Canis lupus familiaris: one gene and its partners. The protein of the gene in region 1 purifies or fractionates together with the protein of each later gene. This does not show direct contact. Links are inferred from orthologs where the notes say so. Each region holds a gene or a part of one and is shown on either strand. Other genes may lie near its edges.

The links.
Region 2: the proteins of RNF111 (region 1) and SKIL purify together in Homo sapiens (affinity purification with western blotting; 3 studies listed by BioGRID). This does not show direct contact. The link is inferred for Canis lupus familiaris from reciprocal best matches to the Homo sapiens genes RNF111 and SKIL.
Region 3: the proteins of RNF111 (region 1) and SMAD2 purify together in Homo sapiens (affinity purification with western blotting, with the first as the bait; 3 studies listed by BioGRID). This does not show direct contact. The link is inferred for Canis lupus familiaris from reciprocal best matches to the Homo sapiens genes RNF111 and SMAD2.

What each region holds. Positions count from the first base shown.
Region 1 is NC_049251.1:24,253,076-24,257,385, reverse strand, and holds the start of RNF111 (E3 ubiquitin-protein ligase Arkadia), read right to left. Parts: upstream 2,855-4,310; 5' UTR 2,506-2,854; intron 2,439-2,505; exon of another isoform or gene 2,168-2,438; intron 1-2,167. UniProt on the Homo sapiens protein: E3 ubiquitin-protein ligase. Required for mesoderm patterning during embryonic development. Acts as an enhancer of the transcriptional responses of the SMAD2/SMAD3 effectors, which are activated downstream of BMP.
Region 2 is NC_049255.1:35,127,753-35,131,922, reverse strand, and holds the start of SKIL (ski-like protein), read right to left. Parts: upstream 2,848-4,170; 5' UTR 2,668-2,847; intron 1,805-2,667; 5' UTR 1,748-1,804; intron 1,382-1,747; exon of another isoform or gene 1,319-1,381; intron 1,043-1,318; exon of another isoform or gene 967-1,042; 5' UTR 341-966; coding exon 1-340. UniProt on the Homo sapiens protein: May have regulatory role in cell division or differentiation in response to extracellular signals.
Region 3 is NC_049228.1:43,758,100-43,761,689, reverse strand, and holds part of SMAD2 (mothers against decapentaplegic homolog 2), read right to left. Parts: intron 176-3,590; coding exon 52-175; 3' UTR 1-51. UniProt on the Homo sapiens protein: Receptor-regulated SMAD (R-SMAD) that is an intracellular signal transducer and transcriptional modulator activated by TGF-beta (transforming growth factor) and activin type 1 receptor kinases.

The DNA of each region.
Region 1 (4,310 bases):
AGTACCTCCATTTAAAATGTAAGTTCAATTTAGTATTTGTTTTTAAACATCTGTAGCCCACTCCACATGTAATGGTATGAACTGAATGCCTGCAGAAATGTGGGCCAGCTGTTACCAACAATCGGTGAGGTGCATACAAGAAAGAACAGAGATGTAAGACATTCAAATGCCAATTCTGGACTGCGACCAACGATTATAGGTTTCTGACAGAAAAAATTATTAGGATGATTTAAAGAGCATTACCAGAAGTAAAATGAAGTTTCACCTTTTAGTATGAGAGCTATTTAGTCATATATAATATCTATAATAAGACAGAAGCGTTATCTAAAGCAACAAACATGACTTTATCATAGTTCTCTCCCCACCCCCACCACCAATATAAACATGAAGGAATTTACACTCAATATAACACTTCTTTCCAGGAATTGGATCATGATGAACACACCAACAAGTACCAAAAGCACCTAACCAAAAATACAAACCATTAAATTTGGGACCTAGAGAAGACTAAAAAACTATCCTACAGTTCTCATCTAGCAATTGAGAGAGATCTGAAACTAAAGATGGTTATCAATAAAGGCACAGATCTAAGGAACAGATTTAAAATCCAGAGCTCTGATCTCCAGCCCCATTCCCTTCCATAAGATAATGCCACCCACAGAATGTTAATATCAAAGTTACTAACATGCTTTAATCACTAACATTTTTAATACTGTCACTGTCTTTTCTTCCTAGTGGAAGTCTCAGCTCAGAGGGGAAAAAGTCAAAAATAGGATGCAGACAATCATACTCTAAGTAAAGCATGTTACAGAAACCCCTCTTTGGCAAAATAATTAAATGTGTAAAAAATCTAATTAGTTTGATTCAATGGATTTTTTTAAACCCACTTTAAATTTTATAATGAAAATAACTATCTACAAATATCTGCTGACTGCTCCTCTGCTCCAAACGTGTAAATTGCTATTCTCTTATTTTGTCCGAGGTTAAATGCCAAGAAGTGGCCAACAAAAGTAAAATAATTCAAGGCTTTAAAAAAAGGGATCCCTGGGTGGCACAGCGGTTTAGCGCCTGCCTTTGGCCCAGGGCGCGATCCTGGAGACCCGGGATCGAATCCCACGTCGGGCTCCCGGTGCATGGAGCCTGCTTCTCCCCCTGCCTGTGTCTCTGCCTCTCTCTCTCTCTCTCTCTCTCTCTCTCTATCATAAGTAAAAAATAAAATTTAAAAAAAATAAAAAAAAATTAGATTCTTTGCAGCATAAGAGGCTTCTTTCTCATCGCGTTTGGTCTCACAGAGCGCTCAAAAGACTACTGTTTCATATGAAAAGCAACATAGTTTATATTGACATGAAAATTTTTGCTAAAATAAAATCACGGTAGTAACAAACTGTCATAATGTAGACCTTCACCATAATAGAACTAAGTAAAACTAGGTATTATGGAACTTCGATGTACGAAATCACTATCCTGACATTTGAAAGCAATGACACACACACGGATGGAAAAGGAAACGGAACCTTGGCTTCTCTTTTCCCCAGGCTGTTCTTTTTTGGGGGGAAGGGGTCCCTAAAACAAGAAAATTAAACGTAAAAAATACCAAGTGAAATAAAGTTTGGGTTAAGCAAGGTCCGAAAGCTAAAAGAACTGGAAGATGAAGTCTGTGTCAGCTGGCATCTTATCACTCCGGAGTGTTCTAAATTCATACTCCACGTAAATCAAGAAACAGGAAAGCGCACAATACAATGGAGTCGCCTCACACTACAAACATTAACAAATTAAATGAATACCTTACACTTCCTGGTGTGTGTGTGTGTGTGTGTTTTAAGCACCGAAACTTAGATGCGCCTTAAGAAGTATCTGTAAAGACCTATTACGACCTATTTAACGACTATGGCTGGCAAACCTCTATTTCTACAGTACGGAGCAGACCGTTGCCACGACAGCCTTGTGCCACTGACTCCGACAAATTATCTAAGAACAATAATAAAACAGTGAGCTGCCTTTTTTTTTTTTTTTTTTTTTTTTAAATGACCGACAAACCAACTCTACACCGAAATCTGACGCGTCCGTCTGCGCGCTGCTCGGCGGACGTTTCCTTGAGCACAGGAGGCGGCGACTCCCTCCCCGCGGGGCCGACTTAGCGCCCTCCGACACCCCGGGGGCGGGTTACCTTCATCACTCCATTGTCAGGTCGCACTCCCACGCCTCCGTCTTCAGCCCCCTTCCTAGACTCCAGGGAGAGTCCAAAGAGGGAGAGAAAGCCCCTCACCCACACTGCCTTACAGCGGGGTGTGGGTGTGTCTGCAGACCGCCGCTCCGCGCAAACACAATTAACCCTCCCGCGGAGCCGCGGACCCCAAGTCACCGGGGAACCGGCAGCACCGCCGGCCGCCGACCCCAGCCTTCCGCGGCCGCAGCCCTTCCTCTTTCTCCCCTCCGGGCCGGCCCCTCCCCCGTCGCGCGCACGCGCGGCTTCCCATCCATCCCCTCCCCCCTAGCCCCCCTCACCTTAATCATTAGCCACCCTCTTCCCAGAGTCCGGGAAATCCCTGCCCAGGGAGGGACACAGGAGGCGGAAGAGGGGAAGAGGCTGCGTCGAGAACCGGTGATCCGCGGCTGAGGTCTCGGCCTAACAGGCCCCTACACTCAAGAGCTGCGTCTGTCACCGCCGCCAAACCGTACGAGCGGCAGCGCCTGGTTCGGCCCAGTTCACCCGGCTTCGGTTCGGGATGCCCGATTTGACCCCCGCAAGAACGCCTTCCCCGAAGCCGCGGGCGGTTCTGTGCGGCGCAGACCCCACACCTCGCCGCCGCCGCCGCCGCCGCTGCTCTCCTGCCGCCGCCGCCGCTGCCGCCGCCTAACCAATCCCTCCTCTACCGAGGGAGCGCGACAGTCGGGGGCTTTACGACAGTTCGCAAAGTGAGAGCGCCGCGGCGCTCACGCCTCCCTCCGTCGCTGTTTCTGCGCATGCTCAGACTCTGGCCTCCCGGTGCCCCGCCCCCTCCGCCCCAGCCCTCCCCCTTTGTGCTCGTTTTGTCGCGTCTGTAAAGCGAAGCCGGACGGTTTCGTGAAGCTCGTTGGTTTATTTTCCTTGGTTGTTGTGTTCTACGCTTAAGCAAAAACTATTCCTCAGCTGTTCTTGTTTCCGTGACTTGAAAAGTGCAGCTAACCACAGAATCACGCATTGCACTTAGGCTACAGTTAAACAAAAACCTCCCGGCTTGCTGTCTTTTACGAGAAAACGATACCCAAATCTTACTCGCTAATGACATAAAGATCATCGCACCCTGCCCTTAAAGTGGATTCGCTTCCAGAGCCACATCGAAAGTGGTAATAGGCACCCTGGGAAACGACTGTACAGTCACATACGGCTCCTTAGTTATTTTATGAAAAGCAGGAGATTGCAAATGCTTCCTTACGTGCAAGAGGAGGATGGATGTAGGCGAGGAGAGTGTAGGCTTTTGAATCAAACAGACCTTTCGGATCCCGATGATGCCAATGAACAGCCGTCTAATTTATTAGGTCTTTATCTTTCCCCCAAAAATGAAATGTCAGTTACACCTCCATTTAAGAAGAAAATAGAAGGGTATCTTTCTTAAACCAAGAAAAAGAATTGTTTCCTTATTGACAAATTGAGGTGACGTTATTTACCCCAGAGGGTTCTTGTGAGATGAAATAAGGCAGTGTATAGAATGCTTTGAACATTATTTACCAATTAAGTGTTCAATAAACATTAATTCCCTTCTTTGGTCATCAGCCTGTCTTTCCCAATACGCTTTCTTTGTTCACTCATGTTCTCCATATTGTTCTGTGAAGAAAATAGTTTAAAATAGTTATAATAAAGGATCGCAGATTGTGCAGGAAAACTGGAGGAGCACCGGAGAAGGAATTTTCCTCAATCCTCCTATTTTCTTGTTCAGAAAATAAATTCTTCCTGAAAAAAATAAAATAAAATAAAATCATGGTCCTTCCTGGACTATCTTATCTACTGCCGTGATTTCAATTGCTATCAGCTCATGACTTCTCAAAGTCATGTATTTCTACAACTGTATTTCCAGACCTAATCTTTTTTTTCTCAAGCACTTGAAATGTGGCTAGTACAAGTTGAGAAGTGCTATGGTAAATATATATCCAATTCAAAAATACATTTAAAAATTGTAAAAATTTGAATGATTTTTAATATGCATTACATGTTGAAATGATATTTCGGATATATTGGGGTAAATCGGTGGTTCTCAAGCAGGGACAATTTTATGCCCCCACTTTGGGTTATTTAGCAATATCTGGAGACATGTTTTTGGTGTTCACAACTT
Region 2 (4,170 bases), on another chromosome or scaffold:
GGGAATACCGAGCAGAAAACGCCGCTGGGCCACCCAGAGAGCTCTGACTGCTCAAATGGAACTGGGCCAAAGTGTGTTTCAAACTGGGGTTTAAATGTAAAGGTTCAGGCACAGAGGCACAGGTTCGCTTGACATGTTCCCCATCAGTTTCCATTGGCACTTCATAGTCATCCAAGTGTTCCTTCTTCACGGTTGGCATCTTGCTGTTGATCATCATTTTCCCGTTTGCGTGAATGTCTGTCATCATTTTTTTCACTGGAGGGCCGCCATCATCTCCCATCCCATTCAGTTTTTTACTGGAGCCCTGAAGCAGGGAAAAACTTGTCTGCAGGTTTGCCATGGCTAAAAACTGTCGTGTTAAATAAGTAAGTCTGAAATGTGCATTGTTCTTTTAGTCACTCATTGGAAGAGAGAAAAGCAGTATGTGTCAATACTTAGGGTAACTTACTCTCACAGAAAATCTCAATGTTCAGAGAAATCCCCTTAATAGATTTTGCAACTTGATCTGGTTCTGCTTCTGCTCTAGTATAATTTCACTGCCAGTGCTATAAACTTTTTTCTTTTGTCGCTAATAATAGAGAATATAATTTTGAGAGGCACACCTATGAAGAAGCCTTTTCTCTTAATTCTTCCAATATATGCATTAAAGTACACTTAACAATTCTCTCAATTCGAGAAGTCCAGAATCAATGCAGTGGTTTGGTTTGGTTTTAGGCAAAACATGTGAAAAGTTTGTGTGATTACCTGTGTCACAAAACCTGGACACAAACACAAATCAAAGAGTCGCTCCCGAAATTAGTTTTTGGCACCGAGGACACCAAAAAAGGAAGAAGGGGGAAAAAAAGTATCTTCTCTAAAAGTGATGATCTGTTGGTCTGTGTTGATAAACTGAAGGCTTGTATAAATCCTCACACCAGTGGGAAGAGCTTTTGACTCCACTTGAACTCCTACAGTTAAAAATGATACCTAAAAAAAAAAAAAAAAAAAAAAAAGGTTGCCCAGTTATCTTCATGGATTACTGTTCATTCTTCTTTTAATTAATCTGGAAGAGAAAGGGGTGGGGGAGAGTTATATTTGAATTTGCTCCAGAGGCCAAAGGGTCAGTGTGAAACTAGTTTCTTAATCTTAGACTGAGTTCACTTTACCAAAGGTGAGGTGAGCGACTTCTTTAAATTTAGCACCAGTTAAGTAGAAGAGCTTCATTTAAACAGGAAAGCAATCTGGAGAATGGGTAAAGGGAGCAATAGTCTTCCTCAAAAGGGAGAGGGAGGGCTACTCCAACTCAGAATAGGAAGAGTCTTTAGATAGATCATCTCACCCAAAACTCAGTGCCAGAGGCTTTCTCAGGTATGCCACTTTACCGTAATCCATTACTTCAGCTCTTAATCGAAAAAAATAAATAAATAAATAAATAAATAAATATATATATATATATATATATATATATATATATATACACACCAGTTCCATCCCCCCCCCAAAAAAAAAATCAGATAGCAGTTAAGATATCTACCACATGGAACTAAGTTACGATTTTAAGTGCATGGATTCACCTAGTCCACGTATGTTATTTTTTTTCTGAAATGACTGTAGGCAAAAATTAACTTTCCCTTTAAAAGGTTAGTGAATGTGCTTCATGGAAGCCAAAAGCTCCCGGACTCCACTCCTGGGAATCTCCATCCTTAACCAGACTAATCCCGGACAAAACACACACACACACACACACACACACACAAGGCAGACAGACCTCACAAAGAATGCAAATGGAGGAAGAGGGAAAGAGAAAAGCTTCTTCTTCCACTTCCTTCTTGAGCGAGAATCCGAAAGAAATCCAATCAATGGAAATTTCTGCCTCCCCAACTCCCAGCAGTTCACCTTAGGAGGACCCAGGGTGGCGGCCCAAGGCCACGGGGCAGGGCGCGGATCGCCCACCGCGGGCAGGGGGCGGGGGCGGGGGGGGCGGGGGCCGGACCTGCGGGGGGGCCCCGAGCCCCGAGATCCTCGGCCCGCGCCCGCCCACCCACCCTGCGCGGAGCCGGACGGGGCGCCGAGAGGCGGGAGGCCGGGACGCCTCGGGCTGTGCACGCCGAGGGGGAGGGGGAGGGGGAGGGGAGGGGGGAGCCCCCAGTCTCGGGGCGACCCCGCGCGCCCTCCCGGCGCTGCCCCCGCTGCGGAAAGCCCCGCGCGCCCCGGCCGCGGGAAGTTGCCGGGCGCTACCCCCGCACCCTCGGGCTGCACCCCCGGCCGCCGGGGCCACGGGGCGGCGGGGTCTGCGGGCGCCCGGGGCGCGAGCCGGGATCCCCGCGCCGCCCGCCGCCCGCCGCCCGGGGCATCCCCGAGGAGCGCAGACGGTCGGGGGGGGGGGGCGGGGAGCGCCGCGCGCCCGGGTCTCGGGGTCCCGACCGCCCGGGTCAAGTGCAGCGCCCTCCCCGCGCCCTCCCCGCGCCCCCGCCCCCGCCCCCGCCCGGGGTCCGCGAGCCGCGACCCGCCGCGGGACCCCCGCCCCGACCGCACCCGGGACCGGGACCGGGACCCGCGCCCCCCCCGCGCCCCCAGCGCCCCTGCCCCGCGCCCCTGCCCCGCGCCGCTCGACGAGCCCTGCCCCGGCCCCAGCGCCCCCCGCCCCCCGCCCCCCGCCGCCGCGTCCCCCGCGCCCCGGGGCCGCACCTGTGCCCGCCGCCGCCGCTCGCCCGCTCCCCTCGGCTGTGCCGGCGCCGCTCCGAACCCCACACACATCGCTACACACAGCCCTCTGACGTCACCGAGCCCTCGGCCCGCCCACGTCACTGCGGAGACACACGGCTTCCCGCAGACGCCGCCGCCGTCTCCGGCCGCCCGGGGGCGGGCAGGGGGGAGGGGACGCGAGCCGAGCCGGCGGCGGCCCCGCGCGCGCGCCCCCGCCGCCCCGCCCCCCGCCCCCCGCTCCCCCCCCCCCGGGCGCGCGCCGTCTGGCTACTGGGGCTCCCGCGCCCGCCCCGCCCCCGCCCACCGCGCCCGCCCCCCGCGCCCCCGCCCCAGGCGCGCCCCCGCGCCCCGGCCTCCTCGCGCGCCGTCTGGGCGGCTGGCGCGCGGCGCTGTCTGCGGTGCACCCGGCGCAGACAGGATGTGCCCTCCCCGCCCCACCCCCGCCCGCCGCCCGCCGCCCGCCGCCCGCCGCCCGCCCTCCTTCCTTCCTCGAGTCGCCCAGCCGGCTGTCTGGGGCCGCCGCCGCCCCGCCCCGCCCCGCCCGCTGCTCCGCGCTGACGGCCAGACCCGGGGGCGCCCCGGCCGCTCGGCTGCCGCGCGCCGGGGGAGGGGGAGGGGGACGGGGAGGGGGCGGGGGCGGGGGGCGCGCAGGGGAGGGGAGGGGCGGGGCGGCCGCGCCGTGCACTGTGCGCGACCCCAGCAGCCGGCGGGGCGGAGGCGCCGCCGCCCGAGGTCAGGCACGGGCGACCCTCCCCCCGCGAGGCCGCAGCTGGGCCGCCCCGCCCCGCCCCGGAGGCAGCCGGGTGGCGGCCGCCCTGCAGCGCCCCGCCGGGGGCCCCGCGCCCCGCCCCGCCCGCCCCCCCCCCCGCGGGGCCTCCCGCCAGCTGCCCGCCCCGCCCCGCCCCGCCCCGCCTCGGCGGCCCCCGCCCGGACGCCTTCCCCGGCCTGACCTCCCTCCGCCCTGCGCCCTGCGCCCTCCGGCCCGGCGGGACCCGGAGCGAGCGCGTCTGCCCCCCGCGCCTCCGGGCCCCCCCTCGGCCCCCCCGGGACCCCCCGGCTCCCCGGGACGCCCCCCGCTCCCCGCCGCCCACGGAGGGCTTTCGAGGGGGACACGGAACGCGGTGCAGGCGCGGCCGGGGCGAGTGCGCGGGGCCCCCGGGGCGAGCCGAGGGCCGGGTGGGTGCGCCCCGGGTGGGTGCGCCCCGGGTGGCCGAGCAGCCTGCTGAACTCTGCCGACGTGCTCCGTCCCATTTCGAAACGCCGAGAAATCCCCTTTTCTCCACCCCCACCGCACGATCAGGAACCGAAATAGGCCCCCGAGTTGCACTGCACAGAATTCAGAGGACTCGGGCTTCGTCTCGGGGGGTTGGTTTTCTTTTTTCTTTCCCCCCCCCTTTTCGCCCATTTTTGTCCAATTTCTCCTGGTTTGACCGCTTCGAGGTCGCTTCTGCGGGGTCCGCGGGTGGAGCCAGCCGGCTGCGAAGG
Region 3 (3,590 bases), on another chromosome or scaffold:
GAAGAGTTGTTACATTAAGTCTTTTGATGGGATCTGAGTGGTGACGAAGCTTTATGACATGCTTGAGCAACGCACTGAAGGGGATCCCATCTGAGTTAATACTTTGTCCAACCACTGTAGAGGTCCATTCAGATGAAGTTCAATCCAGCAAGGAGTGCTCGTTACCGTCTGCCTTCTATTTAAAAGAATACAAGAAAATAATTATGAAATTAAAAGAATATGGCGATGTTCAACAACATGCATTAAGAATTTAGTTAAATTAAAAGGCTGTATATACTAAAGCCTACATTCTTTAGGACAAGTATGAAGTCTGAATAGCTATTACTCTGAAAATTATTTAATCCTCCAAGTCTAACAAAATACTTCTAGTGACTTTTATTTTTTTTTTGCTTTTAAAGAAATTAACAAAAACATTCATTTCTCTTCAAATTAAAATTAGGAGGGTGACCTGACTACTTACCAACTAAAACGAGACACCTTTCAGAGTGAATGAATAGTCACTATTAATAATCAGGCCAGGAACAAGGGACTCAAACCAGGACTGTCCCAAGCAAACCAAAAAACACAGTCACCCTACTGATTAATCAATCGCAGAGCAGAGGATCCTCAAATACCAAGTCAAGTCTAAATAGAACAGGGTTCAAATTTCAAGTGTACCAAAACAAAACAGAATTCTGACCGAAGCTTATCACAGAATGTTCAGAGCTAGAGGTCGGCCTTCCCTGACAAGGCCAATGAAACATCTCTGTTAGAAACATGGGTGCAAGCTTTTAATAGAAACACCTCCAGCATTTCGACATAATGGGACTCTGGGAACTACAAACTGTTTAGTGACGTCCCGTCACTTGCTCACATACTGATCTGAGTTCTGTCTTATTTATTATCTACAGTAAGTCAGCGAGTCTGCTTGCTGCTTCACTGTGACCGCCCTACAAACACAAGAAAAGGCCATTATCAAACCTTCAGCTCCAAGTGACACATGCTCACTATAACTTAAAACTGCATCTCAAAGGTTGTGGTTTTCTATAGCAGATGGTGTCAGTGCCGCACTGTACCCTCTGGAGTTTTCAGCATTCTCTTGCCGACTAACAATCGCGTATCTCTGAATTCCTGTGCCTAACAACTTCTCTGCTCGGGCCACATGTGCAGACCACAAATGCTAGGAAATTACCTCCCCAGGAGCAGCTCTTACCCAATGACATGGGAACTGGCATTTAAACACCCGGTTTCCTTTCCTTCTGGGTGGGATAATTCTGTACGTTCATTACAGTTTCCCATGTTTTCCTAGGGGAATAAGCTCTAATGACCCACCCAACACAGCAGCAGGCTTAATAATGGTTTTGGCTGCCTTCCCTCCCCTACCTCACTTCTCTATTTCCTCCTTCCTTACCAGTGCGTCCTCCATTTCCTGAACCAACTCCTAGCATTTGAATCCTTGTCTCGGGGTCTGAGACATACACTAAGATGTTGATATGGGATCATTCCTAAAACATGACAGATTTGAGGAACAGTCTCAAATCTGACCTGTACAAACCCATGGTCGTATTTTGATTCGGACAGTACATTTTGGCTTATGCAGCTTAGCATTGCACTGGCACACTGTACAAGTTAGCTCATGTAATCCAGGAGGCAGAGGCCAGACTGACCCTTCTCCATCTGCCACCCTCTGTTCTTCCTGTTGTTTCTCAAAGAAGTTTCTCCTGCTTTCTAGCTCTCCCTCAGATCAGGCCTTCTGCAGGCTTTTGCCAAGATCTCTTTGAATTTTGATTCTGTCATTTGCTGAATTCTGGGTACTTCTCAGTTTGTTTTCGGTCAGATCATTTCAGTCAGAAGGTTCATCAGATGAACCTTTGGGAATCATTCCTAATCCAGTCACTGAATGGGGAGTAGGTTTCAGAATACTGTCAGTGGTCTTGTTTGGGCACAGAAATGCACCCAAAACATTATTTATCCCCTACCTATTTATTCACTTCAGTAACAATTCACTTAACTCAGACATATTTCTTCAGTTAAATATATAAACTCTTTGCACATCTATATTGCTTACTACATTTCCTGATTTTTATGCTGGCAAATATGCTGGTAATAAAGAAACTGAAAAACAGTTTGAGAAATCTTGCCCTGAGATCTACCCCCACAGCTCCAGCATCATTAAGGATAAAAGGTTCCTGGTAACCACCAACAGTTCACAGAGAGCAGGTACCTGACATTATTCTGATCTATAGATGTTAAAGGAAACTAGTTTACTACCCAAAGTAGATCTATCTGACTATATACCAATAAAAACATACTGTATGTTACCGCTTCTCATCATTACAGTTTTTAAATTCTCCCCAGGTTTAAGAATGGCAGAGTGCACAGTGCACCCAGGGCAGCACCTCTCTTCCACCAAGTAAAACTGCCCTTGGCAGGAGAGCTATAAACACACGTGTAAGTCTCCCCGCTCTCGGCAGTTCATGTTTAATGGCACTAAATTTCTACTATCGTGTTCTGTAATTCTCATCTTTTGAAGAAAAAAAACCTGTGACCTAAAAGCCTGGTATCAGATGGTGCCACCTCAATCTAATTTTTAATATCAACTCAGGCCAATTCAAGCCCAAAGCAAAAAGGAGCTCTGTGCTCTTTTAAAGCATCACACCTTAAAAGGGAAATGATTAAATGAATTTTTCTACAATTATAACCTGGCCAAAATAAAGACAAGTCTTTATTCTAGGATACAAATATACGAAACAGTATTGATTTTTATAAAAGTATTCACCCAGCAGACCTCAGGTTTCACCATCTCAAGAGACACACACCTCCCCAAATTTGTTGAAGGTAGAGAATCAAGTCCAAATGAAATGAAACACATTCTGAAGAAGAGGCTCAAACTGCCAGGTAAGAAACAGGAATATGATGACTACTGTACATGAATACCTTTGCATGCGAGTGCTCACAGTGAGCAAAACTAGCTGGAGGAGGACTAAGTACTTTACTCATGGTTCCAGCCTTAAATATGCTAAGGGAGTCTTCTGTTCCTCTCATGTGGAATCCAGTCCATGCTTTAATTTGGTAATAACCTAACTTGCTTTATCCTCCGCTGACAACCTAACTTCTGTAGAACTCAGTTTTGTAATGTTACTACCACCCTTGGAGAGGGCGTTAAGAGGCAAGGAAAGCTCTCCTCAAGTCCATCTCCATGGACTCCTCTCCACCATGTAGAGAGTGCCCCTAGGCAAATTCTCAAATCTTTTCTACGCCTATTTCCAACTAAGTATTAGTCTGAACTACTTTTTGCAACCATATAAAAAGAGACAATAGAAATAGTGATTCTTAGCCAGGCCGCAATGTGTGATGTCCTGCACTGAAAACACGGCACAGCACCTGACATCTGCCAAGTATGCCCTTCTATTACTGAATGAAGCTCTACCTCTTAACCTTACATTCCACTGGTCTCTAATGATCTGTCCAGATATATTCTTACTTTCTGTACTCCAGCTGAACTGAACTGTATGCTAGTGTCAGCATCATAGTTTCGCAACCCCTCATACCAACCTGAAATCCTAGGCATCTTTCACAACCTAGATCATGTGCCATCTCTACTGGAAGCC